Stegostoma tigrinum: one gene and its partner. Each later gene encodes a partner of the first gene's protein in a complex. Links are inferred from orthologs where the notes say so. Each region holds a gene or a part of one and is shown in the gene's direction. Other genes may lie near its edges. The genes, in order: stx17 and snap29.

Evidence for each region.
Region 2: the proteins of stx17 (region 1) and snap29 are in contact, whole or in part, in a crystal structure (PDB 4WY4), measured with the Homo sapiens proteins. The link is inferred for Stegostoma tigrinum from reciprocal best matches to the Homo sapiens genes STX17 and SNAP29. Residues at the interface, in NP_060389.2 of Homo sapiens: Glu170, Trp172, Glu173, Leu175, Glu176, Leu179, Ile180, Ser183, Val186, Thr187, Phe189, Ser190, Val193, Asn194, Gln196, Gln197, Ile200, Ile203, Ala204, Val207, Asn208, Ala210, Ala211, Val214, Glu215, Thr218, Leu221, Gly222, Ala224, Ala225; in NP_004773.1 of Homo sapiens: Arg52, Thr56, Ser59, Thr60, Arg62, Ser63, Leu66, Glu69, Ser70, Val73, Gly74, Ser77, Glu80, Leu81, Gln84, Val87, Leu88, Thr91, Met94, Val95, Lys97, Met98, Asp101, Leu102, Ile104, Ser105, His108, Ile109, Ser111, Ile112.

The regions. Positions count from the first base shown.
Region 1 is NC_081355.1:89,957,848-89,974,531, reverse strand, and holds the start of stx17 (syntaxin-17), read left to right. Parts: upstream 1-10,667; 5' UTR 10,668-10,756; coding exon 10,757-10,791; intron 10,792-16,684. UniProt on the Homo sapiens protein: SNAREs, soluble N-ethylmaleimide-sensitive factor-attachment protein receptors, are essential proteins for fusion of cellular membranes.
Region 2 is NC_081379.1:7,570,239-7,586,149, reverse strand, and holds the start of snap29 (synaptosomal-associated protein 29), read left to right. Parts: upstream 1-9,623; 5' UTR 9,624-9,720; coding exon 9,721-9,954; intron 9,955-13,821; coding exon 13,822-14,012; intron 14,013-15,911. UniProt on the Homo sapiens protein: SNAREs, soluble N-ethylmaleimide-sensitive factor-attachment protein receptors, are essential proteins for fusion of cellular membranes.

The DNA.
Region 1 (16,684 bases):
CAATCTTCAGAAAGCATGCTCTTCCTTTAAAGGTAGGGTCCCCATAAAAAGAGAAACTGCAAGGATGCGCTGCAGGATAACTACTTTCTTACCATTCTGGAAAAAGTAATGACCCAGCAAGGAAGTAGAGGACTCCCATACAATGGGGCCCTGAAATCACTGTCAAAACCCAGGCCAGAAAAGAAACCATGTTTCAGGCAAAGTCTGGAAAAAGCATTCAGACCGAACGCTGTAAAGAGAGTGGGAATGGGTGCCAAGGCTTAAGAATGTCCACGCCAAAGCATCACAAACTTAGCAGCAGTCCTTCTATGTGTTTAATAACTTTGGTGGAGCAGCAAGTGAGTTCATTTTAACAGCCAGCCCTCACAGTGCTCAATGCACTATATCTCATCATTCACCTTGTAAGTTTGAGTCAGGTTTGTTACTTCTAGTTCCAACTTGAGACTGACATCTCCAGATATGAGTTTTCCGGGAAAAGTAGCAGCGAGTTTACTAAGTAGAAGCACAAGTGAGCCAACAAAATGATACTTAGCAATCTGTTATCACGAGAACAAGCTCTGGGCTCATTGGTTGATTTGGGTGACAATTTCCGCTTTGTATTCATTGCAGCTGTGTGGCAATGCCAAGTTGACCATTGTCTATCTCCTCTTGGTTATGTGTTGAAGTTAACAACACTCAACTTCTTATGCATTTTTTGAGCCCAAGCTTGTGTCTAGGTATTAGGTGACTGATTGCTTTTAAGTCAGAAGGAATCTCATCCTAAATGACCTGATTAGTTTATTATTGTCATCAGAGATATTGGGAACTGCAGATGCTGGAGAATCCAAGATAACAAAGTGTGGAGCTGGATGGACTACGCAGGCCAAGCAGCATCTTAGGTGCACAAAAGCTGAGGTTTTGGGCCTAGACTCTAGACCCTAGGCCTGAAACATCAGCTTTTGTGCTCCTACGGTGCTGCTTGGCCTGCTGTGTTCATCCAGCTCCACACTTTGTTATCTTAGTTTATTTTTGTTTCGTTTTTGTCTTTGACTGTATTCCTTACGGAATTGCAAGCTTACGTGTCCCTCATGCATGGCATTTTTGGTGATTGAACAAAGACCTTTTATCTAAAATAATTACTATAAGTTTATTTTGCTACTGTCTTATTATACAGTTAGGCAGATGTAAATGTTTATCCAAGCTTCCAATTAGCCAAAGGTCAGAATACTTTCTGACTTAAGTTTTTAACAACAACTTGACAATTCTTTGTGCTGTCCTCCACACATCAAACTGTTACATTGACAAAATGATTTAAACATTAGGCTTTGCAGCTCAGCATTTTCTGTATTCATGCCCCCATACCGACACTCAAGCCAGCAGTGCACTCTGGCACTAAGGACTATCATCCTTAACTGTAACTCATCCTCCCATGCTTTCCATTATTTACATTATTAAATGTAGAACAAGTTTTATTTCCTGTTTTATGCAATAAATTAAATGGAAATATTAGATTGCTGTCTTGATACTATATATTTCACTATCAGCCACAATGGCACAATTTGTATAATGGTTCTTTAAATCTATACCATTCAGCTGCTGAGCTGGTATTGTAAGGGTTGTCAGTTCAAAAATTATAGATTATTAGTGATATTCATAATACTCAAAGCATTGTTATACTACATTTGACAACAAAATATGCATGAGGGTCAAAGACATACATAGGATCAGTCAGTCAACAGGCCGATTCCAGAATTTAAATATAAAGTAGAAAACAATGTATATATTGACTATCTAAATCATTCGATTGATTTTCTTGCTAAATAGTTCACTAGCTTCTTTCTAAGGATGCTAATGTTCATGCCAAGCAATTACAATCCTTTAAGTCAAATGTTCATAACTGATCTATCCATTCATCTTCTTCATTCAGGCTCTAATTCTGTTTCCCCTTATGAAGTGAAATAACAAATTCATTCAAAGTAACTATTGAAAGATGGTGGCAAATCTCGATGACTGAAATTCCTTGTACTGTATGTAAGGGAAGTTTTAAATACATAAAAATTATGTATTTAATGAGGACTTGCATTATTTTGGCACTTATCATAACTACCAGACATCTCAAAACATTTTACAGTCAATGAAGGATGTTTGAATTGAAGTTACTATTGTAATACAGGGAACACAATACAGACAATTTGCGTAGAGCCATCATCCTCAACAGCAATGAGAAAATTACCAGATAGTAACAATTATCACAAAAATCAAGAATTTAGAAATGCATTGGTTTCTGCTGAGACCAACCTTTCTTTTTCAATGCCACATTCCAGCTGAATCAGTTCTAGTTGTTTTTGCACTCTGCCTACTTGGGGGTGGCACATTGGCTCACACTGCTCCCTCACAGTGCTAGGCGCCCTGGTTTTCTCCCATACTCCAAAGATGTGCAGGTTAGGTGGACTGGCCATGCTCAATAGCCCACAGTATTCAGGGATGAGTGGTAGCCCATAGAGTCTAGGGTGGAAAATGCAGGGTTGTGTAGTGGGTGGGTCTGGGTGGGGTGCTCTTTGGAGGGTCAGTGTGGACACGATGGGCCAAATGGCCTGCTTCCACACTCTAGGGATTCTATGATTCTACTTTGTGCAGGCACCTGTGAAAGAAGTGGGATTGTGGGAGCATTCATTGAAAACCCGATTGAGTTTCTGCCAGTAGAAAGAACTTACTTATCATTTCACAGAACTTTCTGCCTGTTGTTGGATTGGACACAATAAAAATGTTTCATGCACTCTCATTATCAGAAACTATTGACGCTGAGATTAGGAAAAGGCTATGAATTGGGGTAAAAACCAGAAGAACTGTGGATGCTGTAAATCAGAAACAAAAACAGAGATAACACGGTGTGAAGCTGCATGAACACAGCAGGACAAGCAGCATCAGAGGAGTAGGAAAGCTTGACGTTTCAGGTTGGGGCACTTGCTCACAAAAACTGAAGTTGGTGGAAAAGCTCAGCAGATCTGGCAGCATCTGTGAAGAGAAATCAAAGTTAACGTTTCAGATCCTTCCTCAGAACTGATGGTGGCTGCGAACATGTCAGCTTAGATGCAGATGATGGGGTGAGGGCTTGGGAGAAGTGACAAGGGGTAAACAGTAGGTGGGGATAGAGCCCAAACAGACAGAAGAAAACAGTTAGATAGACAGGGAGCGGATAACAATCTGGCTAGGAGGGTGAGTAGCTGTTAATGGGGACTGTTAGTGGCAAACAATAGGTAGTGTGTAATGGCAAGCTATGTGATAACAAGACCTGGTGTGTGGGGTAGGGGGCTAAGACATGAGAGAGTTCAGGCCCTAAAGTTATTGAACTCAATATTGACTCCGGAGGGCTGCAGGGTTCCCAAGCAGAAAATGAGGTGTTGTTCTTCCAGCTTGCACTGTGCTTCGCTAGAACACCACAGCAATCCTGAGACAGAGATGTTGGCCAGGGAACAGGGTGGTGTAGTGAAGTAGCGGGCAACTGGAAGCTCAGGAACTTTATTGTAGGCAGAACACAGTTGTTCCGTGAAGCAATCAACCAGTGAATGAATTGGGGTTGACTGATGAACAAAAATACTATTTACTGCACTAACTGCAAGTTCCCCTCCAAGATACTTGCCATCCCAACTTGGAATTATATTGTCATTCTTCCATTGTCACTGGGTCAAAATGATGGAATTTCCTCAGTAAGGGCATTGTGGGTCTACCTGGAGCATATAGACTGCAGTGGTTCGAGAAGGCAGCTCACCACGCTTCTCAAGGGCATCTAGGGATGGGCAATAAATGCTGGTTTAGCCAGCGATCTCATATCCCACTGGAGAACAATTAAGATCTGGACAGCTGCGCAGGTCAATAAGAATTTGAGGCATCAGATCTAACTCCAACTGATAGACTGTAAAACTGTGTACTCACTGTTTGTAAAATTGATGAGCTGAGAACTAAATATTTAACTGAAGGAAGAAAATGCATTCACTTTTATAAAATGTTGATACATAGACTATATGTTTCATTGTAAATTAATTACAAATATCAACAGTATCTGCATATAGTACTTATGCAGCAATCAACAATGGTCTGATATTTTCTAAAATAATAATCTGTCTGTAATTTATGCAGTTGTCCCAAATGTTTGCTATAACTTCAGCAAAAATCTTGCAAAAAGAAAATGCAGCTGTTTGCTTTGTTTCTCAGGTTCTACTACTCTACTCTCCACTGAAGTTGCGGTAAGAGATTAGTTAACTCGCCTAACACAAAAATTGTACACACCTGTAACTTCCACACAATGATGGTAAAAACATTGTTTTATTTTACACTGCTAATGTCATTGAACCCTCAACATATTTATTGTCTCTTCTTTCAACAGACTCAGCACTAGAACTTCATATACAACCATAGAGTTTTTACAGTGCAAAAAATAACCCTTTGGCCCATTCTATCTGCACCAGTCATCAAGCATCTATCCATTGTATCACATCTCCAGCACTTGTCTAGTAACTGTGCACGCTATGGCATATCTAGATGTCCTAAAGCAGGGCCTTCTTGTGATCACCATTTCCCCCATATATAGCCCATGGCAAAAGGGATAAGCAGTGTGAGAAATGCATATTCTTAGAAGACCATAATATGTGGGAGCAGATATAGGCCATTCAGTCCATTGTGTCTGGCGCACCAATCAGTTGAATTATGGCTGGTCATTTCTAATCTAATAGACTATGAGAATTGGAAATGGCAAATTTGGATAATTCCTAGGGGGCAAAGTTTTACCAAGCGACTTTTTGGAACCCAAAAATCAATGGATTAAGAAAAACTGGGCATTGTCTGCTGTTCAAGAAAGTCAGCAGACTTTGCAGAGAATACAAGCGAAAGTTGCTAAGACAGAGGCAAAAGATAGGGTTTATTATTGTAACTGATGGACAAACAAGCTTGAAAAGTTGTAAAGATCTGTGCTGTCATTGCCTAACAGTAGCCTCTGCACTGATATTTGTGTGGATTTTTCATTATAAATCAAATATGGCTCTGCTGGAGAGGTTTGCAAAGATAGAAGCTCTCTCATTCTCAACAAAGAATTTGTGAATCAAATATCAGGGTTCTTAACTGTTTCCAGATGAGATCTGGGCTGAAGATCTTCCATTACTCTTCAACTGACAACAATCAGATTGTCAACAGATATCAAAGGAAGTCAACTTATTTCTACGTTCTGCATTCAAACCCTTGACAGACAAGGACATTATTCCTTTAATGATTCTTTTCCCCATCCACAATAGCCCTGAGGATCTGTGAGATCTTGTCCTATATATGAATATGTGTGTTTTTGGAATAAAGGGAGATATAATTTGAAACTATGTAGTAGCATAGTTGATAAACCATTTTGCTGTTTATTGTAAGAATAGATTTTATCTTCAATAAATGTTATTTTTCGGTGTATTGAGGAACCCTGATGAAAATCTCTTTTGTTCTAGATAAACTAACCATTTGAATAATTAAGTAAGACATTCGCTCTTTTGGTATAGCTTTTAGAGTATTGGAACTTGATTACCATTGCACTCCTCCTGGCAGAGCTGTAACAAGATAAAGGAATTTTTACAACGCAAATTTACATAGATCTGATCTATTTCATGTAGGTAGGCATCAGAATAAACCTAGTGCACAACATAGCTTAGCAGTATCAGTGGAACCACCAGGGGCCCAGATATCTGGCCTGGCCTGAGACTCCACTAGAAGCTAGGGCAACAATAATCCTCTTAGCTCCTTTATAATGGTAGCCTATCGAGACAGCCAAAATTGTCAATAGTGGTCAACACACAGCAGTGTTTTTCTAGTTCCACCTGCTGCCTGACAGGACCCAAACAGCTTCCGTTGTGACCATTGCATCCATAATTACTACTTCAGTGAAATGACCTTTTCTTGAGTCCTGATACTCCACAGGTGTGAGATGCGGGTGTCATCAACGCCAGTTTGCCACTGTTCTACTGGAAGCAGGGCTGTGAATTTTCAAGTAGTGGAGGATGTATTTTAGTGTAGTCCCATTTGTGTTTGATTGTATGTGTTTGGTGAGCAGCAGCCATTATCTAAAATAATCAGGAATAAGGAAAAGTTGCAAATTAAAATGATGCTCCATCTTGGGTTTGAGAGGTAATATATACACAAGGAAATAAATATTCTACAGATACCGGCTGGGAAATAATTCAGAACTGTGTATCCTTGTTGTGGTGTTGGTACGTTAGCTTCACAATCCATTTTTATATTTTTGAATTATTGAACAATCCTGATATTAGTTATCTGGATGTCTATCATTGGTACTGTATTGCATCATACATGCGGGCAGCCTGATGATAGGCACAGCTCATTCAGTGACAAATCATATTAGTATCAAGGTTTTGAGGTTTTGCCTAAAACATAAGTGACAGGTCATTCATGTCATCTGTCTGCTTGTCCTCTCAGCCAGGGACAATGTGTGGCAGTGTAAAAGAAAAGAAAGGTCAACATTATCCTCTTTTGAACAAATTGCAATCCATCCAAATTCATTCCGTAGAAATAAATGCCTTTCTGACATACGACGGAAAAGTTAAATTAACTGGAATTAATTTTTTTTTATACAAAAAGTCCCAACATCTGCTTGATTAACATCCATAACATTTCGAAACAGGTAACAAGCTAAAGGTCTTACTCCCAATACTTGTGCACTTCAGAAGTTTGAAACATTATAAGTAACCTCACAGAGACCGGTATCCCAGGCCAACTGGTAATCCATTATTTACATGTGGAGATTCCTTGACAAGTGTCCTGCTATAATTACTTCAGATACTGAAGCAGTCTATGTTCAAATGCAACAAGCTCTGGAGGATATCTAGGCTTGGGCTGAGAAGTCACAAGTAACAATCGCACCAAACAAATGCCAGACAATGACCATTTCTAATAAGAGACAATTTAACCATTGCCCTTGACATTCAATGCAGTCACCATCACCAAATACCCCACTAACAACATCCTGGGCCTACCAGTGACCAGAAACTCAACTGGGCTCACTATTTAAGCACAGTGCCTACGAGAGCAAGTCAGAGGCTAGGAACACTGCGACAAATGACTCACTTCCTGATTCCCCAGTGTCTGTCCACAAGCTACAAGCAAGGAGTGTGATGGAAAACTCCCTCCTTACCTGGATGATGCAGCTCCAACAACACTCAAAAACCTTGACACCATTCAGGAAGACGCAGCCTGCTTGATTGGCACCACATCCACGAGCATCTAGTCCCTTCATCACTGATGCTCAATAATAGCAAAAGTCTGTATTGTGTACTATCTGTATGACACTGCAGTCCACGTGCTATAACTTGACCTTTTGGAAGGAATTCCAGGATTTTGAACTGATAATAGAGTTGTGAAAGCACAGTGATATATTTCCAAGTCAGGACAGTGAGTGGCTTGGAGGGAAACTTGAAAGTTGTGGTGTTCCCATGTAACTGTTGCCCTTGTGCTTCTAAGTGGAAGTGGTTGTGAGTTCGGAAGGTGCTGTCTAAGGATCTTTGGTAAATATCTACAGTGGCCTTGATACCAAGGGTTGTAACTCTCATCTCACCTCTAAAATTCAGCTCTTTTGACCATGTTTGAACCAAGGCTGTAATGAGATCAGGAGCTGAGTGCTGTAGGTCTTGTGTGCAGAAAGACTGTGTTAGTTTTTTGGGGCAAACGACATTGGGGGCAGATGAAAGACAATGTGTAATTCTCCCAACAGCTGTGGACGCACAGCTTTTTTGGTTATTGGGAGCCTAACTTTCCCTGAGGCACCAGATACAAAAGCCTTTCAAGAGTTGACGGATTTACTTAAGGAATATTCTGATCCCAAGCCTCCTCTAATTCTGAGACACTACCGGTTTTGAAGCAATTCAAGAACCAGGGAATTCGTATTAGGATTTTTGACAAGGTTAAGACAGAGGCATGTGACTTTGGTTTAACCCTTAATGTGATGCTGAGAGACTGTTTGGTATGTGGGATTAACAATATAACCATGCAAAAACAGCTACTAGCTGACGCCCAATTGGACTTCAAACTGAGACCATAACTGGCTTTAATATTAGAAAGTTGGGCAAGTGGACCATTTTAGTTACAGGGTATTCCAATGGAAGTGGTCACCCTCGCCAGCCTGACTGAGCTTGTGGAACAGCACTTGAGTGAAGGGAATTGCATAGCTTCACTCAGGACATATGCTGAACATAGGGACTCGAGGTCAAGCCAAAGCAAAACCCCAAAACAAAGGCAAGCCTTTGCCAAACGGTTAAAATTTTCTTCAGTATCTGGCAAGCCATTGTAGTTGCCACCAGTATGCAGACTTGAGACAGCAAAAGGAGTCCTGCTAGATGTAAATTGAGTAAGAAAACGCGTGGCAAGTATCCAACCTGGAAGGTCCACCTACATCTGGTTTGGAACAGTTAAATTCTTAGCAACATCTAGATCAGAGCGAATCAGAATAAACATCTGGTTAAATGGTCACCCGCTTCTAATGGAGGTCCTTGCTAGTGGTGTGGCCGTTTCAGCGATCACAGAACCGGTCTTAAAAAAATTTGCTCTGGACTCCAACCCTTGGGATTGCATAAGGCCTCAGACAGACTGAGAACCTTTACAGGTTAAGGGTACACAACTTCGATCCCATTCTCTTATGAGAAGCAGCTGAATCAGTTAACACTGATTGTAGTGAAAGGGCCCAAGCTTGATGGAGCAGATTTAGTTGAGAAAGGTTCACTTAAATTGGCTGAACGTTTTTTGATTTGAAAATGGCTTCCTGAATGAAGTTCTAATTAAATACCCAGAAAGTGTTTAGGAAGGTCTGGGGACTATCAAAGGAGCCAAGGTCACCCTGCATGTTAACCAGGAAGAAATTCCACAATTCTGCAAGGCCTGCTCAGTGCCATTTACCCTATGGGCAAAAGTAGAGGCAGAAATAAGGCGGCTAGGAAGTGAAGGAGTCATCAAACCAGCCCAATTTTCTGAATGGCCAGCACCAGGTGTAATGATTGGGAAGCCTGATGTGTCGGTTTGCCTTTGTGGGGATTTTAAACAAATGGTAAATCACTTTTCATGGCTGAATAAATACTCAGTTCTTCACATAAAGAATTTATATGCAAAGCTGGCAGGGGGATTGTCCTTCATGAAGCTGGAGATGAGCCATGCGTATTTGCAATTACAGTTAAATGAGAATTCCCAGAAGTATGCTACAAGTAATTCACACAAGAATTTGTACCAATGTATGAGTGCCATGTGGGGTATCGTCAGCCTGTGCAACTTTTCAGTGGATAATTGAGACATTTTACAAGGTCTACCCCAGGTCGCCATTTATCTAGATGACATGTTGATAAAAGAGAAGACTAACAAGAAGCACTTACAGAACTTGGGCATAGTCCTTCGACATTTCTCCCAGATAAGGAAAAAATGTGTTCCAGATGCTCAAGTGACATCCTCAGGCTACAGAGTCAACAAGACAGGGTTACCACCATTGGAAGAAGGAGTGACGGTGATCAAAGGTGCTCCAGCTCCCACATCTGTAACAGAGTTTAGCTCTTTCATTGGGCTGGTGAATTATTACAGAAAGTTTGTACCTAACCTGACTCCCATCCCGGCACCTTTACATCAACTCTTAAAAAATGGTCAACCTTGGAAATGGTTGCATAGCCAAGCCATAGCTCTCAGGGAAGTGAAGAAACAGCTATCATCCTCTGAGCTGTTGGCACGTCATGAAACCCGCACTATGATACTGACATGAGATGCTTCCCTGTATGGCATTGGGGTAATATTAGCTCAGAGGTGATCCAATGCAGAGTGTAAACACACCCTAATAGAGAAGGAAGGTTTGTCAGTTGTATTTGGAGTTGGGAAGTTTCACCAAATCCTTTACAGATCTAAATTTGTAGTAAGAATGGTCCACAAACTCTGCTGAGTCTCCTTGAAGAGGCCAAGGTAGTGTGCTTGTAGCTTCAGGCTAAATTCAACAGTGGGCTTTGATACTAAGTGTTTATAAATAACAAATTGGAACAGTGTTCAGGAAGCTAAGTAGCAAATTTGGGACTCCTCCAGGCACTCCTGTTTCCTTGCATAGTCCAAAGATGTGTAGGGTTGGTGAACTGGCCATGCTAAATTGCCCGTATTGTCCAGGGATGTGCAGGCTTAGTGTCAGTGATGGGAAATGCAGGGGTACAGGGCTAGGGTAGCCGGTGGGTCTGGGTGGGATGCTCTTCAGAGGGTCTGTGTAGACTTGCTGGTCTAAATGGCTTGCTTCCACATCTGTAGAAAGGTTGAAAATGTGACTGGCTGAGTGTGTGGATTGATAGTTTAGCGGTAATACTAGTAGGCTGGTTTGCTAGTTTCGACATTATTTAAACAGCTTAACCTAAAATGCATATTTGTGTAAATGGACTGAATGTTTGATAAAAATGGCGTTGGTGGAGAACGAAAATAAAACTAAACACACTTGGATTTTTTTTCCTTTCGTGATTTGTCGATAATTTCTAATCCACCTGCTCAGATAGTACCACATACATCTGAAACAGTTAGGATGTGAACCTAGGCCTCCTGGTCTAAAGGCAGGGGCACGACAACTTCACCCTTTTTAGTGATTTGTAAAACTTACTCATCTTCAGCCTTGAGTTGCGAGCCGCCAGGCCCGATGGAGCCGCGCCCGGTTCTCGGGGGGGTGTGTTCTGTGGTAACGCCGGAAGTGGCGGCTCTGTCAAGTTGTGGCGATTGCAGTCGATCGGGAGAGCGGTTTATGTTCGGGTTTTTACCAGTGGGCAGGGCCCCGAGGTAGGTCTTTAGTTTTGTGTGTGCACCTCCGCCGAACTCCCCCCCCCCCCCCCCCTTCACACGGCCACCGGTGTGAGAGAAGCTCCGGCTCCTCCCACAATCTGAATCCTTGAACGGCGGCGACCTGTTGCTGGAAAGTATGAAAATAAAACTTGAAATGTGTTACGCATAATCCCCGGCGGTACCTCGTAGGACATCAGTATATTCAGTGTTTGGTGCCAGAGGTCGGAGATAGTGGGAACTGCAGACGCTGGAGAATCCGAGATAATAAAATGTGAGGCTGGATGAACACAGCAGGCCCAGCAGCATCTCAGGAGCACAAAAGTTTGCCTGTCACCAAAAACTGTTCTGAGGTGACCAGTGTTTCTACAGAAATTCGTCTTGTTTCCTGGGACGATGCCCTTTTTAAAAATTCCTCATACTACATCTGGGGAAATGCTGCCCTTGTCTCTTTGGCTTTTTATCATCGGCCTAGTGCGCCCAAGGTGCAGGGCACAGTAGGAAGACTGTCTTGTGGCGTAGGGCTCTCCAGGACTGGTGCTACTGACAAAATACACTATTCACATCATCCACCCAAACTGACGGTATTACTTTGGCCTGCTGTGTTCACCCAGCTCCACGCTTTATCTCTTACTTTCCAGTGAAATTCTTTTTTAAGTCCCAGATTCGAGTTGCACCGACATCAGACATCTCGCAATGCCACTGTTGGTGGCAATGGTCACCGAGGAGTATATGGAAACTCTAAATGTGGTAATCAGGTAGATGCTTGCCAATTCTAACTCCATCCAGAAGGGGAAAGGAAAGTAAAACTTGTGATTAGCACATATTTGTTTGACTTGTGAACTTCAGAATGGAGATCCAGCATGCCTTCTGTGACCAACTGTTACCTTTTAAAAACTGGTTTAAACCTCTCGGCAGTGATTGAGTGTATACACAGAAGTTATTGAAGGAGGTAAGAGTTCCAGATGGAGGTCAATAAAGCACAAGGTGGCTATGCTGAATTTGAATTGAGCACTTAATTTAGTCAGCGAGAGTATTACCTCTAGTTCTGTGCGTTTCACTTTAATTGTGAAGGCATTAAAGAGAGTGGTTCCATTGATGAGGGACTTCAGTTATGAAGATAGACTGAAGAAATTAGGACTGTATTCAAAATCATAAGGCATCTGGACAGTGTAGATCAGGAGTAAGTCTTCCCACTTGTGACAGGATTGAGAATGAGAGAGAAAAGATTTAAAATAAACAGCAAAGCAAGCAAGGGAGTTGTGAGGAAAAACCTTTTTGTGGAGCAAATGGTTAAACATCTGGAATGCACTTCCTGAGAATGTGATTGAAGTGGGTTCAGTTGAAACATTCTAAAGCAGGGCTCAAGATCAGTTTCTTTTCAAGGGGTTCCCTTCAGGTTCTTGTCTCAATTTCACTAATTACTTCATTAAATGGTGCGGGACATACGCAAGTTGTAACAATATCTTTTATATTTGTATGGATGGGATATTGGGGATTTGGACTTGCACAGCAGCAGAATTAAAAGAATCATAATTCCCATTAATCATCATTGCTTCATCACGAGAAAAGCATTAATTTTCTAAACAGTACAGTGTCTAAATTGGCACGAGACAGTAGGTATAAGTTAGATTTCCTTAAAAAAAGCTTAACACTGTCATACTGGAAAAAGTCAAAACCCTAAATGTGCTTTCAGTGGATTAGTGAGATCACAGCTAAACGATTACGTGTTTGTCGTGAAGAAACAACTGCACCTTGGGTAATTCTTCATATCTGAGATGTTGTAATACATTAATGACATCCCCCCCACATTCCATCCACTCACTATTTCCAATCCCCCAATTTTCCAGCCTCTCAGTGCCTCCTGACACTTTCTAGACCTTCACTACTTCCTCCTGCATTTACTATCCCTGACTTTCAAGCATGAACTCCTCATCTCCAAGTGTTAGGTGTAAGGTGAGTTGGCAGAGTAAGGCACTGGAATGTTAGAGGGTGGAGGGGAGAAGTGAGCGGCTATAAGCATAGAAAATTGGAGCATGAATAGGCCATTCACCCCATCGAGCCTGCTCCGCTTTCCAGTATGATGTGGCTGATCATCAAACCCAGTATCCAGTTCCAGCTTCCTGTCTATACCCTTTGATCCCTTTAGCCTTAAGACCTTTATCTAACTCCTTGAAACACAATATTTTAGCTTCAACTGCGTTTTGTGGCAGAAAATTCCACAAGCTCACCTCTGGGTGAAGAGATTTGTCCTCATCTCAGCCCTGAAGGATTTACTCAGTATCCATAAACTGTGAGCCATGACTCTGGAGTCTCCCATCATTTGGAACAACCTTCCTGCATCGACCCTAGTGGTCTAATCTTGTTAGGATTTTCTTGGTTTCTGTGAGATCCCTCCTTATTCTTCGAACTCCAGCAAATATAACCGTAACTGATTTAAACTCTCCTTATTTGTTAGTCCTCTCATCCCTGGGATCGATCTATTAAATGTTTGCTGCACTTCCCCAAGAGCAAGAACATCCTTCCTCAGGTAAAGAGACCAAAACTGTACTCAACATTACAGGTCTGGTTTCACCAAGGCCCTGTATAATTGCAGCAAGATATCTCTGTTCCTGTACCCAAATCCTCTTGCTGTAAAGGCCAACGTACTATTTTCCTTCTTTACCGCCTGTTGCATGCATACTTTCAGTGACTAGTGTACTAGGACACCCAGGTCTCATTGCACCTCCCCCTTTATGAATCTGTTGCCATTCAGATAATCTGTCTTCCTGTTTTTGCTACTAAAGTGGATTACCTTTATACTGAACTTTGTCACCTGCAAACTTGGAGAAATTATATTTAGTTCTCTTATTTAAATGATTGGTATGTTTTGTGAATAGCTGGAATCCAAGCACTGATTGTTGTGGCATCCCAGTAGTCACTGTCTGCCACTATGTATTTATACTCATTCTTTGCTGTCGCCAACCAGTTCTTTATCCAAGCCAAACACTATCCATAGCCCCACATGCTTTAATTTTACATGTGAGTCTGTTATATTGATAGGCACAGTTTGATTTGTGATAGTCAACATGGATTTGTGAGGGGTAGATCATGACTCACAAACCTTATTGAATTCTTTGAAGAGGTGACCAAACACGTGGATGAGGGTAGAGCAGTGGATGTGGTATACATGGATTTAAGTAAAGCGTTTGAAAAGGTTCCCCATGGTAAGCTCATGCAGAAAGTAAGGAGGCATGGGATAGGGGAAAACGTGGCAGATTGGATTCAGAATTGGCTGATCCTTAGAAAACAAAGGGTGGTAGTGGACAGAAAATATTCAGCATGGTGCTTAGTTATGTGTGGTATACCACAAGGATCTGTTCTGGGTCCTCATCTCTTTGTGATTTTTGTAAATGATTTGGATGAAGGAGTGGAAGGGTGGATTAGTAAGTTCTGGGACAATACGAAGGTGGGTCGAGTTGTGGATAGTGCGGAGGACTGTTCTAGGTTACAAAGAGACATGGATAGGATGCAGAGCTGGGCTGAGAAGAGGCAGATGGAGTTTAACCCTGAAAAGTGTGAGGTGATTCATTTTGGAAGGACAAATTTGAAAGCAGAATACAGGGTTAATGGAAAGATACTTGGCAGTGTGGAGGAACAGAGGGATCTTGGGGTTCATGTCCACAGTTCCCTGAAAGCTGCCATCCAGGTGGATAGAGTTGTTAAGAAAGTATATGGTGTGTTAGCTTTCATTAATAGAGAGATTGAGTTCAGAGCCGTAAAGTTATGCTCCAACTATACAAAAGCCTGGTTTGGACACACCTGGAGTATTGAGTCTAGTTCTGGTCACCTCAATACAGGTAAGATGTGGAAGTGTTGGAAAAGGAAAACTGTTGCAGACAAGATTTACCAGGATGTTGCCTGGAATGACGGAAAGGTCTTACGAGGAAAGGTTGAGAGAGCTAGGGCTTTTCTCTTTCGATATCGAAGGATGAGAGGTGACTTGATAGAGGTGTACAAAATGATCAGAGGTATAGATAGAGTGGACAGCCAGAGACTTTTTCCTAGGGTGAAAGTAGCTATCACGAAGGGGCATAGTTTTAAAGTGAGTGGAGGTAGATATAGGGGTGACGTCAGAGGTAAGTTCTTTACTCAGAGAGCGGTCGGGGCGTGGAATGCATTGCTGTAGAGGATAGTGGAGTTGGCCTTATTAGGGGCATTTAAGCGGTGATTAGATAGGCATGTGAATGATCGTGTAAGGTATGGGTGGAGGTTAGATAACCTTTGGTTTAGGGTAGAGGTTTGGCACAACATTATGGGCCGAAGGGCCTGTACTGTGTTGTGCTGTTCTATATTCTATTAATTCTGTACTGTAAATCCATTCTGACTGTCTAATCCCATCGATCCTGAAATGAGAGTGCAGTAAGTGGCTCAGTAGTGGGGGAGAAGTGGAATGTGGGAATGGAAAGTGGATATATCAATCAATAAGGGAACAGCTGTCACAGATGATTCCGAACGCAAGGGATAGATGCAATAAAGGTCACCAGTGAATACTAAATACTGCTTTTAGCAAAGTGTTGACTGAACTTCAAGGACAGATAACTGGGGCTTGTGCTGGGGACTTCCGAATTTAGATACATTTTCATTGCTTGAAGAAGGGGTATGTTTTCATGTACTTACAAGTGACGTGCAATAAGTGCATGCAACAGAGCCAGAGGAGTCCTCCTGCAGTCATGAGTATCAGGTTATACAACAATGAGGCCATGGGATGACAAATAAGACACTTATTATGGAGGTGGTGAGGCTGAGGGCCGGGCAGAAAAGAGGCTACAGAGGGAGGACCCATGCACTTCCAAATGTGTTGCTTAGATGTCAGAGAAAGTGAAAGCATGCTTGAGCATATAGAGAGTTAAGATTCACCTATGAACATAATCAGAAAAATGGAAGCTGAAAATGTCTAGACTGAAATGTTAAATTAAGTCATTAAATGCGGCAGAAGGTGTGGTGCAAACTTATCCTAATTCAACACAAATTGGCAGCTATGTTAGAATGGTCAAGTTGTGGCTGTTGAGAGATGGGAAAAAAATTATCGTTGCTGCAGTAGAAAATGCCATTTTAATTTGGGACTAAAACAGCTTTGCTAAAGTTGAGAACCACCACCACCACCGCCGCCCCCCCCCCTGGATCTCCAAACACTGGGGTCATTGAAATTTCAAGCTCAAGAGTAAAAGTTGGGGAAGCGGGTAGCCGAGATCCAAACAACTTGCCCCTACATCTGGCACGCTGACCTGTGAGTGCTTGGTGCTGGCAATGAGGGCCTTTCCCCAGGCAAGGAGAGGTGGGTTGTGTGTGTATGCAAATTAGATCTCCAATAAGACTCTTTGGCTGGGATTTCAAGATGATTTGATCTGCCTTGGCTTTCACTGTGGCAGTTCTAATTGATTGTATCTGCCAGGTAACTAATTTCAGATCTATGAAATCCAAATAAGGTCATTAACCTGTATCCTGCATCTTGCCAGGTTGGATGAGGTGCATGAATAGTGGGAAATAATTACTAATCTGGTTTGTTGTTGCAAAAAAGTTGAATTCAACAAGTTTCTTAGCCACAGTAAAAATATGGTACTGACAGCATTAGTTATTTTAGCCTGAAAATTGCTGTTTTCCTTGAGAATTGCAACTTTATCCAGCAACTTCCATGTGGTTCAGAGTCTACTGCGTTGAATCTTGACTTCTCTTGCTCATGCTACATGTCTGCAGCACAGAAGTTACCTATTTTGCAGTAGCATTGAAGTTCTGAGGAGGAGCAGCAACTCCAGTTTATCCCGTCTCCAAAGACAATTACAATCCCACAGGACAGACAGCATGGACAAAGAGTCTATGCTTGACTTCCTTTTCTTCCTCATTCGTAGATATC
Region 2 (15,911 bases), on another chromosome or scaffold:
CTCCTGGCATTACTTCAAACAAGGGCCTTAACAAACATCTTTGCCGCATCCTTGACCACGAGTGAGGTCCTAGAGGACTGGAGAATTGCTAAATGTTGTCCCCTTGTTAGGTAGCAAGGATAATCCAGGTAATCCAGTGGTGGGAAGCTGCTGGAGAAGATACTGAGGGAAAGGATCTATTTGCATTTGGAAGAGAATGGGCTTATTAGTGATAGGCAGCATGGTTTTATGCAGGGAAGGTCATGTCTTACCGACTTAATAGAATTCTTTGAGGAAGCAACAATGTTGATAGATGAGGGAAAGGCTGTGGATGTCATATACATAGACTTCAGTAAGGCATTTGATAATGTTCCCCCCGGTAGGCTGATGGAGAAAGTGAAGTCGCATGCGCTCCAGGGTGTACTAGCTAGTTGGATTGACAACTGGCTGGGCAACAGGAGACAGAGTCATAGTGGAAGGGAGTTTCTCAAAATGGAAAACTGTGACCAGTGGTGTTCCATAGGCATTTGTGTTGGGACCACTGCTGTTTGTGAAATACATAAATGGTCTGGAGGAAGGTATAGATGGTCTGATTAACAAGTTTGCAGATGCCATTGAGATTGGTGGAGTAGCAGATAGTGAAGGGGACTCTTGGAGAATGCAGCAGAATACAGATGTATTGGAGAGCTGTGCAGAGAAATGGCAGATGGAGTTCAATCCAGGCAAATGCGAGGTGATGCATTTTGGAAGATCCAACTCAAGAGTGAACTATACAGTAAATGGGAAAGCCCTGGTGAAAATTGATGCACAGAGAGATCTGGGTGTTCAGGTCCATTGTACCCTGAAGGTGGCAACGCAGGTCGATAGAGTGGTCAAGAAGGCATACGGCATGCTTTCATTCATCGGATGGGGTATTGAGTACAGGAGTTGGCAAGTCATGTTACAGTTGTATAGGACTTTGGTTCAACCACATTTGGAATACTGTGTACAGTTCTGGTCGCCACATTACCAAAAGGATGTGGATGCTTTGGAGAGGGTCCAGAGGACGTTCAACAGGATGCTGCCTGGTATGGAGGACACTAGGTACTAAGAGAGGTTGAGTAGTTTAGGATTATTTACATTAGAAAGATGGAGGTTGAGGGGGGACCTGATTGAGATCTACAAAATCATGAGAGGTATAGTTAGGGTGAATAGCAAGAAGCTTTCCCCCGCCCCAGAGTGGGGGACTCAATTACTAGAGGTCACAATTTCAAGGTGAGAGGGGAAAAGTTTAAGGGAGATTTGTGTGGAAAGTTCTTTATACAGAGGGTGGTGGGTGCCTGGAACACATTGCCTGCGGAGGTGGTAGAGGCGGGCACGATAGCGGCATTTAAGATGTATCTAGACAGATACATGATTGGGCAGGGAGCAGAGGGATACAGATCCTTGGAAAATAGGTGACAGGTTTAGATAGAGGACCTGGATCAGCACAGGCTTGGAGGGCTGAAGGGCCTGTTCATGTGCTGTAATTTTCTTTGTTCTTTGTTCTAAGAGTAGGGCAAGGTCACCCCAGTGTCCTGAATTGATATTAATCCCTCAAGCAAGATCTGTGATTGCTAAAACAAATATATACAAATAAATTATTACCAAGTCACTCAGCTTCTCAAATTAGCTCAAACATTCAACAAGATCATGGTTAATCTGATTGTTCCACGTTACCGTCTACACCCAATAACCTTTCACCCCCTTGCTTAATGAGAATCTATCTACTCCTGCTTTAAAACTTTCACGACTCTTGCTTCCATCTCCTTTTCAGGAAAAGAGTTCCAACGACTCAGAGCCCTCTGAGAAAAATATTTTCCTTATCTCTGTCTTAAATCATAGTTCGGGTTGAATTCTGTTTTAGGTTCCATAAATGGAAAGGTTGGAATGCAGTCCTATTCTTCATCGTGTCAAAGCTGGTTCATTTGCTAGCATGCTCACCAAAGTGAGAAGGTTGCAAATTCAAATCACATGGATCCCATAACGCTACAGTGCTCGCTAGTGCCCAGTCCTTGTCCTTCAGGGAGTCACAGAGGTGTTCAGCACGGAAACAGACCCTTCAGTCTAATGCGTTCACACCAGCCAGATTCCTTTGTAAACCTAATCCCATTTGCCAGCATTTGGCCCAGATCCCTCTGAACCCTTCCTATTCTTATACCAGTCCAGACACCTTTTAAATTTTGTAATTATACCAGCATCCACCACTTCCTCTGGCAACTCATTCCATGTATGTTCTAGCCTCTGCATGAAAAAGTTATGCCTTATGTCCCTTTTAAATCTTTCCCCTCTCACCTTAAACCTATGCCCTTTAGTTGTGGGGTCCCCCAATCCAGGGAAAAGACCTTGTCTATTTACCCTATCCATGCCGCTCATGATGTTCTAAACTTCTATGAGGTCACCCCTCAACTTCTGATGCTCGAGGGTAAACAGCCCCAGCCTATTCAGCCTCTCCCTGTAGCTCACTCCCTCCAACCCTGGCCACATGCTTGTAAATCTTTTCCAAACTATTTCTACTTTCACAACATCCTTCCTATAGCAGGGAAATCAGAATTGCACACAGTATTCCAAAAGTGGCCAAACCAATGTCCTGTACATCTGCAACATGACCTCTCAACTCCTATACTCGATGCACTGACCAATAAAGGAGAGCATACCAAACGCCTTCTTCACCATCCTTTCCACCTGTGACTGTACTTTCAAAGAACTATGAACCTGCACTCCAAGGTCTCTTTGTTCACCAAAGATCCCCAGGACCTTACTATTGAGTGTACAAGTCCTGCCCTGATTTGCCTTTCCAAAATGTGGCACCTCACATTTATCTAAGTTAAAGACCATCTGCCACTCCTCAGCCCATTGGCCCATCTGAGCAAGATACTGTTGTACTCTGAGGTAGCTTTTTTCACCATCCACTATACCTCCAATTTTGGTGTCATCTACAAACTTACTAACCATACCTCCTGTGTTCACATCCAAATAATTTATATAACTGACTAAAAGCAGTGGACCCAACCCCAATCCACACCACTGGTCACAGGCCTCCAGCCTGAAAAGCAATCTTCCACCACCACACTCGATCTTCTACCTTCAAGCCAGTTGTGTACCAAAATGGCTAGTTCTCCCTGCATTCCATGTGATCTAACAATCGTCTTTGTTACTTCTTCAAAAAACTCACTCAAGTTAGAGAGACATGATTTCCCATGCACAAAGCCACGCTGTCTTTCCCTAATTAATTCTTACCTTTGCAAGTACATGTAACTCCTGGCCCTCAGGATTCCTTCCTACAAGGGCGGCACGGTGGCTGAGTGGTTAGCACTACAGCCTCACAGCGCCAGGGACCCGGGTTCGATTCCCACCTAGCGCGACTGTCTGTGTAGGGTTTGCACATTCTCCCCATGTCTGCGTCGGTTTCCTCTAGGTGCTCCGGTTTCCTCCCACAGTCCAAAGATGTGCAGGCTAGGTGGATTGGCTGTGCTAAATTGCCCGTAGTGTTCAGGGGTGTGTGGGTTATAGGGGGATGGGTTTGGGTGGGATGCTTCAAGGGGCTGCGTGGACTCGTTGGGCCGAAGGGCCTGTTTCCACGCTCTAGGGAATCTAATCAAACTGGCCCACCACCAGTGTCAGCCTCAATGATCTATAATTCCCTGGCTTTTCCTTAACCTTTCTCAAATACTGGCACCACAGTAGCCAACCTCCAGTCTTCCGGCACCTCACCTGTGGCTATTGATGAAACCGATCTCTCAGCAAGGATCCCAGCAATCATTTTCCTACCTTCAGTTAACATCATGATGGGTAAGAAATGCAGGTCTCGCCAGCAAAGTTCACGTAGGGCAATCAAGAAAAAAAATGTCAGTTATATTTCACAGAATGATAAAAATGTACAGAAGGGGGCCATTCAGCCTGTCACATCAGTACTAGCTGTCTGCAAGAATAACTCCCCTAGCTCCACTCATCTGCCTTTACCTGTAACCCTATAGTTTTTTTTTTCAAAACTTAATTATCCAATTCCATTTGAAAACCACAATCGAGTCTGTTTCCACCAGGACTGTTAGAAAAAATGGTTAAGAATGATTATAGGATGCTTGCCTTATCTGAAGCAGTTAAGAGCAGGGGTGTTATTCTGGAACAGTCTAAAACATTGATTTGGCCACAGCTGGAGTAATGTGTGCAATACATAATAGGAGGGACGTGATGGCACTGGAGAGGGTGCAGAGGAGATTTACCAGGATGTTATTTGGGTTTTGAGCGTTTCTGTTATGAAGAAAGATTGAAGAGACAGGCATTGTTTTCCTTAGAGCAGAGGAGATTGAGTTGTATAAAATTATGAGGGGCACAGACAGGAAGGAACTTTTCTCCTTGCGTAGACTGAAGGTGAGGGGCAGTTGTTTAGAGGAGATGTAATGAAAACTTTCTCACCTGTTAGTGATGGGAATCTGGAACTCACTCCCTGTAAGGGTGGTAGAGGCAGAAACCCTCATAACATTTAAGAAGTATTTAGTTGCGCACTTGTGAAGCCAAGGCATACAAGGCCGAGGCCCAAGCGCTGGAAAATGGGATTAGAATAGGTAGGTGGCTGCTTTTCACCAGTACAGATGCTATGGTCTAAAAGCTCTTTCTCTGTGCAGTAGACTCAGTGACTATGACATTCTCAAGCAGTACAATCCAGATGCTAATCTTTCACTGCATTAGAGCTTTCTCCTCATGTCATTTTTGGTTCTTCTGGCATTCACATTGAATGGATGTATCCTTTTGATCTGGATTCTTCCAATAATTAGTCATTTTCTCCCTAATAATTGAGTCCAGACCCCTCATTGTTTTGAACACTTTTATCCAAACTCCTCTCAATGTTCTGGTCCCCAACAAGAATAGCATCAGCTTGTCCAATCTGTACTTACAATTGAGTTCTCTCATCCCTGGAACTATTCTTGTTATTCCTTTCTGCTCCCTTTCAACAGTCTTTATACCTTTCCTAAACCAGTAGTGCCCTCAACTGGACATAAATCTTCAGTTGAGGCAAAACCTACGCTACAACAATGACTATGCTCCACATGTACTTAAATAGCTGTAAAGCAGTTTGGAGCATTGTTCAGTCATGATTGTGAAAGTCGCCATAGGAATGGAATGCAGTAACACAAGTAGGCTGTTCAAGTCTTCTCTACCATTCAATTAGATCATGACCGATCATCAATGTCACTTTCCTGTACCATCTCCGTAACCCTCAATGTCATGAGTCTCCAGAAATCTATTCACTTTTGTTTTCAAAATGCTCAATGATTGAGCTTCCACAGCCCTCTGGGGTAGGAAAATCCAAAGATTCACCACTGTCAAAGTGAAGAAATTTCTCCTCATTTTCAGTCTTAAATGGTGTAGTCCTTCTTCTAATACAAAGTCACGTGGATCTGGACTCAACAGTCAAAGGACACATCCTGTCTAAATTCATGTATCATGTCCTTGTTAACTCTTAATGAGAGCCCCTCTCATTCTTCTAAACTCTGGAATAACATTTACCCATTTTCTTCAATGTTTCAATGTAAGACAATCCCATTCTTGAAGGAACTAGTATAGTGAACCTTCATTTCTTTTGTCCATAGCAAGTATATTCCTTATTTGATAAGGAAACAAAATCTATCCACATCATTCCAGCTGCAGTCTCACCAAGTCTCCAACAGCTTTTTTTTTATATTTACTTGCTGGCTGGCCAGCATTTATTGCCCATCCCTAGTTGCCCTTGAGAAAGTCATGTTTAAAACCTGTACCAAATCCTCTTGCAATGAAGGCCGAAGTATAATTTGCCTTTCCAATTGCTTGCTGGCCTGCACCTTAAATCTTTACAATTTCAAAAGGACACTCAGTTCCATTTGGACATCAATATTTCCCAACCTCTCACCAATTAGGAAATACAGTGTTTTGTTTCTACCACAAAGTGAATCACTCTACATTTACAGGTTCATAGAGATGTACAGCACAGAAACAGACCCTTTGGTCCAACTCGTCCGTGCCAACCAGTTATCCTAAATGAATCTAGTCTCACTTGCCAGCATTAGGCCCATATTCCTCAAAACCCTTCCTCTTCATGTACCTATCCAACTGGCAGAGGTATTCACCAACATCTTCAACCTCTCCCTCCTACACGATGAAGTCCCCACCTGTTTCAAGAAGACCACCATCATTTTTATAGCTAAGAAAGCACATGCAGTGTGCCTTAATGACTACTGCCCAGTGGCTCTGAACTCATTAATCATAGGATGCTTCACGAGGTGGGTCATGGCCCACATCAAGTCCAGGCTCCCAACCTGCCTCAATCTCCTACAGTTTGCCTACCAACATAACAGATTCACAACAGATACCATATCCCCAGCCCTGCACTCATCCCTGGAATATGTGGACAACAAAGACATGTACATCAAACTCCTGCACATTGACTACAGCTCTGCCTTCAACACCATTATCGCCTCCCAGACTGATCTCAAAACTGTGTGCCCTTGGTCTCAGCTCCGCCCTCTGCAACTGGACCCTCAGCTTTCTGACCCAAAGACCACAATCAGTGAAGACTAGTAGACAAACAGGAGTTAACAACGTGTGGAGCTGGATGAACACAGCAGGCCAGGCGGCATCAGAGGAGCAGGAAAGCTGACGTTTGGAAGTTAGAAGAACACAGCAAGCCAGGCAGCATCTGGAGGAAAGCAGCAGTCAACATTTCAAGTATTACCGTTCTTTGGGACTGGATGTGGTGGAAGGGAGAGCTGCGGATGAAGTGGGGAGAGAGGTGGAGTCGGAATGGTAGTGGCAGGTGGACATTGGTAGTAGTTACAAACAAAAACCAAAAGAACTGCAGATGCTGTAAATCAGGAACAAAAACCAAGTTGCTGGAAAAGCTCAGCAGATCTGGCAGCATCTGTGAAAGGAAAAACAGAGTTAACATTTCAGATCCGGTGACCCTTCCTCAGAACTGATGGTGGCTGGGAAAACATCAGTTTATATGCAAAAGGAGGAGTATGGGCTAGGGAGTAAACAATAGGATAGAGCCTAAAGAGAAAGACAGTTGGACAGACAAAGTGTTGATTACAATCAGGCTGGGAGGGCGAATAGTTCTTACTGGGGACCATCAGTGACTAACAACACCGAGTGTAATGGCAAGCTTATGTGTTAACAAAGCCTGGTGTGTGGGGTGGGGGGCTAGGACATGGGAGAGTTTAGGCCCTAAAATTACTGAACTTGATATTAATTCCGGAAGGCTGCAGGGTCCCCAAGCAGAAAACGAGGTGTTGCTCCTCCAGCTTGCGTTGCAACACTGCAGCAAGCCAGAAACAGAGATGTTGGCCAGAGAACAGGGTGGTGGATTAAAGTGGCAGGCAACAGGTAGTTCAGGGTCTTTTTTGCAAGCAGTACGTAGATGTTCTGCGAAGCAGTCACCAAGTCTCTGTTTTGTTTCCCCAGTGTAGAGGAGACCACATTGTGTGAGTGAATGCAGTAGACTGAATGCTGGGAAGTGCAGGTGAAGTGTTGCTTCACCTGGAAGGTGTGTTTGGGCCCTTGGATACTGTGGAGGGATGAGGTAAATGCGCAGATATTACACCTTTGTCAGTTACAGGGGAAGGTGGTGGGTCTGTGGAGGGGTATTGGAGGTGAAGGAAGTGTGGACCAGGGAGTCCCGGAGGTAACGGTCCCTGCAGAAGGTGGACAAGGGAGGGGAGGCGAATATGTATCTGGTGGTGGCATCTCGCTGGGGGTGGTGGAAATGGCATCTGATGATGTAGTTGGTATGACCTGGTTGGTTGATGGGAGGGACGAATCTGGTCAGTGGCTGAAAGGGAGGGTCAAAAGGTGGAATGGAAGGGAGGAGGAGGGGCTGGAAGGGTAGCCTGGGGATGGAGTACAGTTATTTGAAATTAGAGAACTCAACGTTGAGTCCTCCAGGCTGTCAGGTGCCCAGGTGGAAGATAAGGTGTTGTTCTTCAAATTTGCGCTCTGAGTCATTGAGACACTGGAGGGGGGCCAAGGACAGACATGTTGGAGGGGGAGGGGGCAGGGAAGTTGAAATGGATGATCACCAGGTGGTTAGCTTGGCCTTTACAGGCCAGGCAAAGATGCTCAGCTAAACAGTCACCTAGTCTACATTTGGTCTCACCAACACAGAGAAGACCACATCGGGAGCACCTGATGCAGTAGACTAGTTTTGAGGAGATGCAGGTGAAGCTCTGTCTCACCTGGAAGGCCTGGATGCAGATGAGGGAGTGGGGCAGGGGGCGTGTGTGCAGGTGTTGCAACTTTTACAGATACAGGGGAAAGTACCGGGCAGGTTGGAGTTGTTGCTGGGGACTGCGGTGCGACTAAGGAGTGGCAACGGGAATGGGTCCTCTCGATGTCAGCAAAACCAAAGAACTGATCATCGACTTCATAAAGAAAGGAGGAGAACATGTCTCCATTTACATCAACGGAACTTAGGTTGAGAGGGTGGAGAGCATCAAGTTCCCCGGACTGACGATAACTGACAACCTGTCCTTGACTTTCTACATAGATGCGATGGTCAAGACACAGCAACACCTCATCTTCCTCAGATGGCTGAAGAAATTTGGCATTTCCATAAGGTCCCTCATCAACTTCTACAGACGCACCATTGAAAACACACTGTCCAGGTGCACAATGGCCTGGTATGGCAACAGCCCAGATCATCACAGAAGCCAACCTTCCATCCATGGACTCTATGTACATGGCCCGCTACCGCAGAAAGGCTGCCAACATCTAAAACTCTTGTGTTAGGCAGAAGATACAGAAACCTGAATAAATGCACCAGTGGGTTCAGGAACAGCTTCTTCACAACTGTTATTAGACTGATGAATGGACCCTTCAGCCTCAAATAATGCTGATCTTGCTAATATTGATCTTGCCTTGCACATGCCCTGTGCAACATAACCTGTATGCCTCTATCTAAGACTTTTTACAACCTCTGATCAGCACAACCTAGCTTACTATGATCTACCTGTACTACTCATAAACAAAGCATTTCACTGTACTCTGGTATGTGACAATAAATCAGTCAATCAGTCAATCCAGATGTCTGCTCATCGTGTCCTTGCCCATTTATTTAGTCAATTCAGGTTCACCTGAGCCTTTGTGCAACTTTGTCACAACTTAACTAGTTTTGTGTCAACAATAGGTTTTGAAATATTACATTTGTTTCCCCAAGACCAAGTTATTTATATATTTCATGAACAGCTGTGGCCACAACACTAACCCTTGAGGTACCCCATTGGTAAGAGGCTGTAGCCATCCTGAAAATGACCTGCAGATTCCTACTCAAGTTTTCTGTCTGTTAACCAATTCTCAACACTTACCTGTGCGCCCAATCCCACATACTCTGATTTTGTTCGATAAACCTACAGGGAGGGCGAAATGAAAACCTACTGAAAATTCAGATCAACCTGAAACGTAAACTTTTATATCGTTCCCTCTCCGCACGTGTGGAGCCTTTCTAGCAGTCTGTGTTTCTACTGAATTTCAGAGAAGTCAGCCAAGACTCTTTCGGGTGGGAAAGCATGGGGCTGGGGGTCACGTAACGATGCTGGCAGCCAGTCTCAAAGATGGCCGCGCCCTTGGCGTGCATCACCCGGGTGGGGTCACGTGTGGTGAGTCCGGGGGTTGTCAGGTGACGAGGCGCGGTGGCGGGGAGAGCCCGGAGAAGGCGACGAACTCGGTACCGACGAGACCGATCGAGGGAAGGCGATGTCGGCTTATCCCAATCGCTACAACCCGTTCGCCGAAGAGGATGACGAGGAGCAGGAGGGTCGGCCGGCGGCGGACTGGGAAGACGGGGCGGCTGGGCCCGCCGCCGATGATGACAGGCAGTGGTCCCTGAGGCAGCAGGTGCTGAGGAGCGCCGACAGGGCCGTCCAGAGCAGCGGCCGTAGCGTGGCCCTCATGTACGAGTCCGAGCAAGTGGGCACCGAGGCGGCGAAGGTGAGGGATCGAGCCTGAGGGATATCCGCGGCCTGAGCTCACCGCAAACAACAGATTCTAAATGAGGCCCTTCAGCCCGTCGCGTTGATGCCGGTCGTAGTCCTAGTAGCCCAACGTAAACCATGGAAACAGGAACTTTGGTCCAATTTATCTGTGCCGAACAGAGATCCTAAATTAATCTGGTCCCATTTGGCCCACCTACCTATTTATGTACCCATCCAGTTGCCTTTTAAATGTTGTAATTGTACCGGCTTCCACCACTTCCTCTGGCAGCTCGTTCCATTCGTGCTTCACCTTCTATGTTTCCCACTCATGTCCTTTTTAAATCTTCTCCCTCTCGCCTTTTTAGGTTACCTATGCCCTCTAGTTTTAAACTTTCCTATCCTGGGGCGGGGGAAGGCCTTGACTATTGACCCTATCCATGCCCCTCATTATCTTATAAGCTTCTACAGAGGAAATAGCCCCAGTCTCTTCAGCTTCTTCCTGTAGCTCCAACCCCCACAACCCTGGCAGTTTCCCTGAAATTGTGCAACTTGAAACGGTTCAGATGAAAGGTCCTGACCCAAAACCTCGACTTTCCTGCTCCTCTACTGCCTGACCTACAGATGTCCAGCTCCACGCTATTGACATCATCATCAAGCATGTATCTATTTCTAAGAATAGACAAAAACATAATGTACTGGAGAAATTTGCCATGCCTTCCAGCATCTGTGGAGAGTGGCTTCCCCCTGCCCAAGTCCAATGACTCATCTATTTTATGACTTTTCCTCAAGTTCAATGTAGTCATCCTGCTTCTAGCCTTAAAACTGTATATTTTTGTTGTAGACCCTTTTTACAAAGTTTCTCCCTCTTTGCAGTTTCCACAACCCTTGTAACTTCGTACACCTCAATCATGTTCCCCCACTGCGTGTCCTCTGCCTTTTCCTCTTTAAGGAAAACCCCAGCTTATCTCATCCCTCTTTGTAGTTGAATTACTCCAGCACCAGTGCTATCTTTTAACAACATTCATGAAAGTTGTACACTTCATTTAAAAAGGAGACTTCTTTTGCCAGTTCCTGAAGGTAACAGGGCATGGCTTTCCATAGACAAGTCAGTGAAACACGAGTGTTAGTTCTTGTGCTGGAAGCAGAACTACAGCAAAAGCAAGATGTTAACGTAGGATCAACTGAGCAAGAAATGAAAGTGGAAGTTACGTTCTGGATTTTGCTTGAATTAAACATCAATGTCTCTGGGTTCTAGGAAAAAAAGTGAAAGCTAGAAGATGCTAAACCAATGCTAGACCCCATTAGTTTGATTTTTTTTTGGTAGTACGGGCGAGGGCATTTTAGCTCAAGTTGATGCATGATGTGAACCTGTCCGTCCTGTTCTTCCTGCAATAACCCTTTAGCTCAGTTTGTTTCTTTCAATTCTGCCTACTTTCATTTAAATTGTAGATGTCTCTCTGCTACCATCTTGAAAACTAGTAATCTTACAATCATTACACACACAATATATAAAAGAAGTTTATCCTCCCATTCCTTGCAGGAATAGTAGGTTTCATTCCATACACCACATTTTAGGAAGGCCTGTGAAGGGCTTTGTATACAGCTAAGATTTCAGAGTAGTTCCAAGAATGATGGGTTGCTGGTGCTGCATAAAGAAGGGACGGTAGAAGGGAGATTTGCTGGAGATGTTTAAGATCAAGGAGGAATCAGGAAATGAAGAGAAACTATTTCCAATGAGCAATACTAGAGGAAACTAATTAAAGGTTACTGGCAAATGAGTTGGATGTAATGGGGCAGGAATTTTTGCAGTAGGCAAGAATTTCAAACCGCTTTCCTGATAAGGTGGTGGATATGCATCAGATTCAGAAGACATTTGGGGAAAAATACATGAGGTTAAAAGTTCAGGAATATAGGCCAAGAGTAAGGGGTGGGAGGAACTGGATTGTTTTGCAAGAAGTTGGTTAACAAACTCAAACACTCAATTTATTGTATTGGGTATGCTACAGTAACAATATGAGACATGTTCCCACATTGAGGTGAAGGTGAATAACAGATAAGTGGGACCATGAAAGAGAAAGGAATGGCTGACCTTTACCCATTCCTCTGTCTGACCACCTATTTTCGCTCTTGCTGTCATTCTGGGCTCCATTTCCACTTGTCGTTTACTTCCCCACCTGTTCTTTAGTCCATGTACCAACTTTATTCCAGTTACTGTCAGTTCTGAGGCAGGGTCACTAGGCCCAAAATGATCATTCAGATGCTGTCAGACCCTATTGAGTTTTGCCAGAAATTTGTTTTTGTTTCTGATTTCCAGCATCCGCAGTTCTTTGTTTTTAAGCAATGGAAAGTAGTTGATCGCATGAGATGAGTAGTGTGGAACATAAACGCACAAACTTGTAAATCAACTGTCAAATTACTTCCCTTCTGAGGAAGGGTCACCAGACCCGAAACGTTGACTCTGTTTTCTCCTCCCCAGATGCTGCCAGACCTGCTGAGCTTTTCCAGCAACTTTTTGTGTCAAATTAGTTTGTTGTGTACACCCTGTGTAATACAGTACATGATCCTGGTTTCCATAATTGCAAGATTAACAGAAGAAAGTGACAACAAGAACTGAACAGCTAATAACCATCGAGAAGATCTGAACAGCCAGGGGCTCTTTTGAAAAAGAAAAGACCGTGTAGTGACCTGATCTCCAAAGATATAAAAAATTTTTGAGATATAAAATAATTGATGTGGGGAGGAAGTTTCCACTGAAGAACTGTGGACCATAAATGTGAGTAATCAAAATGTCATAAATAGTTCAGAAGGCCTCTTTACCCTGGAGTGGATCCTGCTGCTGATTTGGTTTGATTCTGAACAGAGGGACATACTGTTCAAGTAAGGGTGGTTGAAAATTTGTTTGAAATGTTATCTCTGGTGCACAGCCCTTGGACTGATGCGCATGCTATTGGAAGTTCAGTTATCAGCATGGAGGTGACAAGTTAGTGGTCATAATGAAAATGGAGATGGTGGTGGAATTATCAGGATAGATAGCTTACAATAACAGGAAAGGCAGTCACTAGAAGGGACTGACCAGCTGTCATATGATTCTTTTCAAATCAATTTCATAGGTATTTTGATGCAATGAGTAATGATCTAGAATGCAGAGCTTCAGAAGATGCAAGAAACAGCTTCAATATGACATGTAATAAGGAATTGGATAAAGTTGCAGCCATGATTTATATGGCAGATTTCTTGCCTCTAATTCAGAAAGCTTGTGTTCAAGCCCAGCTCCAGGAAAGGCTGGCAGTGCAGTTCAATATTTAAAGGAGTGCTGGACTCATTTGAAGTTTACTAACTGAAATGTTAAACCTAAACCCCATTGACAATCCATTGCCCTATTTCAAAAGAGAGCAGAAGAGTTGTTCCGCAATGTCCTGGCCCACTTGTCCATTTTCAGATTGTTGAGAGATCTTGTTATGTGACAATTGTCTGTTTCCTATATTACAATAGTGGTTACATTTCATAAGCAATTCAGCTGTAAAGCACTTTCACTCAGTGTTCCCTCCCCCACCAGCCTTGCCCTTCACACTGATATGAGCATGCTGGCCCTGAACTCTCCTTATCTTATTTCTGAGAGCCTCCCACTTGCCAGACATCCCTTTACTTGTGAATAGCCTCCCCCCAACTAACTTTTGAAAGTTCCCATCTAATACCACTAAACTGGCCATGCCCTGATTTAGAACTAAACTTTAACAATGATCCAAAAGTCTGAATCCCTGCACCAGCTCCTCATTCATCTGCTCTTCCTCCTCTCTTTTTAGCATCTGGCTAATTCCCTGTTTTAATTTGCAGAACCTCATGTCTTAATGGTTACTGTAGATTTGGTTCTTATGCTTCACAGGAACTACTGCGACAAGGTGAATCTCTTAAGCGATCAGAAAATATGGTGAATAAGATGGACCAGGATTTGAAAGTTAGCCAAAAACACATCAACAGCATTAAGAGTATTTTTGGTGGCATTACAAACTACTTCAAATCTAAGAACCCAGAGCCACAGGTCTCTCCAGTGCCTGAAAAACAAACTAGCAGCAAGTAAGTATCCTCCCCTCCTTTCCCAGTCTATCTTTCCTCATTCTCCTGTACATCTCTACTTCCTTTCACACCTGTCTCCTCTCAGATTTTATCCTTCACCCCTGCTTTTCCACTTGTTCAGCGGCATTCTCTGAAAGCAGATGCTTGCTCACCCTCTGTCAGCCAATATTGTTCAACGCCATCCCTCCTCCCACTCCTCTACTCTTGGCCATTTCTTAACTTTGTAGCCAGAATTATTTCTAAGTGTCACAGGACATCTTTCTAGTTAAAAGATTTTCTCGTGTTGAATGATTTGGCAGTGATTGAGCTGTCCTGCTTTTGTGTAGATGACGTAACTTTCATGTTATGCTGTAGTCCCAGCTAATGTTAGTGCTGGAGAAGTTAGATCCCAGACTGAAATCTGGCTTGACAAATTTTATTATTTAACAAAGTATTCTTCCACTGAAACACAACTCAATGCTACAGTCTTTGTTGTAACAGTAAAACAAATTTATTATGTGAAATAAGAGAAAAAGGCAATTTTCAAGATTTTGAAACACCATACAATCCTGTCTATCTCAACATTGTTACAGTACTTAATCACCAGAGAGAACTCTCTTCTCCATCCCAACTATAAATTTAATTTGACAAATTTCTTTCAATTCTCAGCCTGAGAATTTGTTACGTAATTGAGCTTAAACTTTCTTTATTAAAATTAACTCTCTCAGGGTTCGAACCAGTCACTCTTGGAATGTAACTTTTAAAACTAAACTAAAACCCTTACTTTGAAGAAACCCAATTCTAACTTTTCTGAACTGTTTTCTCCTGAGAATCTTTCATATCTCTAACTTCAACCAGATCTCTCCTGAAGAATAAAACAAAAGTTTTCCAAGCTGTTTCCTTCTAAACAGTGAGCTAATGTTCCTCAATGTGTACTCCGTCCACTCGTAAAATTCTCCCAATGCAAACAAATCCCACTTTCACCCCAAGGATGCCTTCTCTTACACTGGTTTAGATAAACCATGGCTCACAACATACTGTCAAATGATTAAAATCCCTTCATTCACACCGGTGAAAACCCATATGCAACTAGCAAAATCTAAGCTGTCTGTTTAGTTTTGCAAATGCAAAAATGCTTTAATTTTTTAATATATAAAGCATGCACATTACAATTCAGCATTTTCAGGAGTTTATCAACATTTGTTAGTTTCTTCCTGCACAAACTTAAACCAATGATTGTTAGATTTCATAACAGTATTTGTACAAGATCCAATCAATCCTTGCATTTTAACTGATTACAAATATTATATCTCAGTAAACTATACCCAGTTACAATAGCCTTCAAAAAATGATTCGACTAATGATTCGACTAATGATTCGTCTAACTCCAGCTGCCTAATGTCTGACTCTTATATCTACAGTACTTGGAAATCTTTTTAATCAACCTTTCTCAACATGTTATGATATCTCTGGAGTAAGTGAGCCTTGAAACCAGGCTTTTTGGCCAGAGGTAGGATCACTGCCACTGCTCCACAAGATCCTTGCTATAGTGCTCATGATTAATCCAGTTCAGTTTCTGATCAATGGTTCAGCAATGGGAATGCTTTGGAATTTTGAGGTGAGGTGGTTATTGCCTAGTGTTTGTATGGCATAAATGTTGCTTACCACTTGTCAGCTCAAAGTTGGATCTTGATGTGTTTGACATGTATAGCTTCTGTATCTGAGGAGTCATGAATGCTCCTCAATGTTTTCTCTGCCCAGCCGTAAAACTTTCCCAATGCAAACAAATCCTCAATTTCATATCAAGGATGCCATCTCTCATAAGCATTTAAATAAAATCATGGATCAAGAAGTATTGCATTTTTTAAATGTAAGACCCCATATGAAAATCCACAAAAGCTGAATGCTGCAGTTAACAGC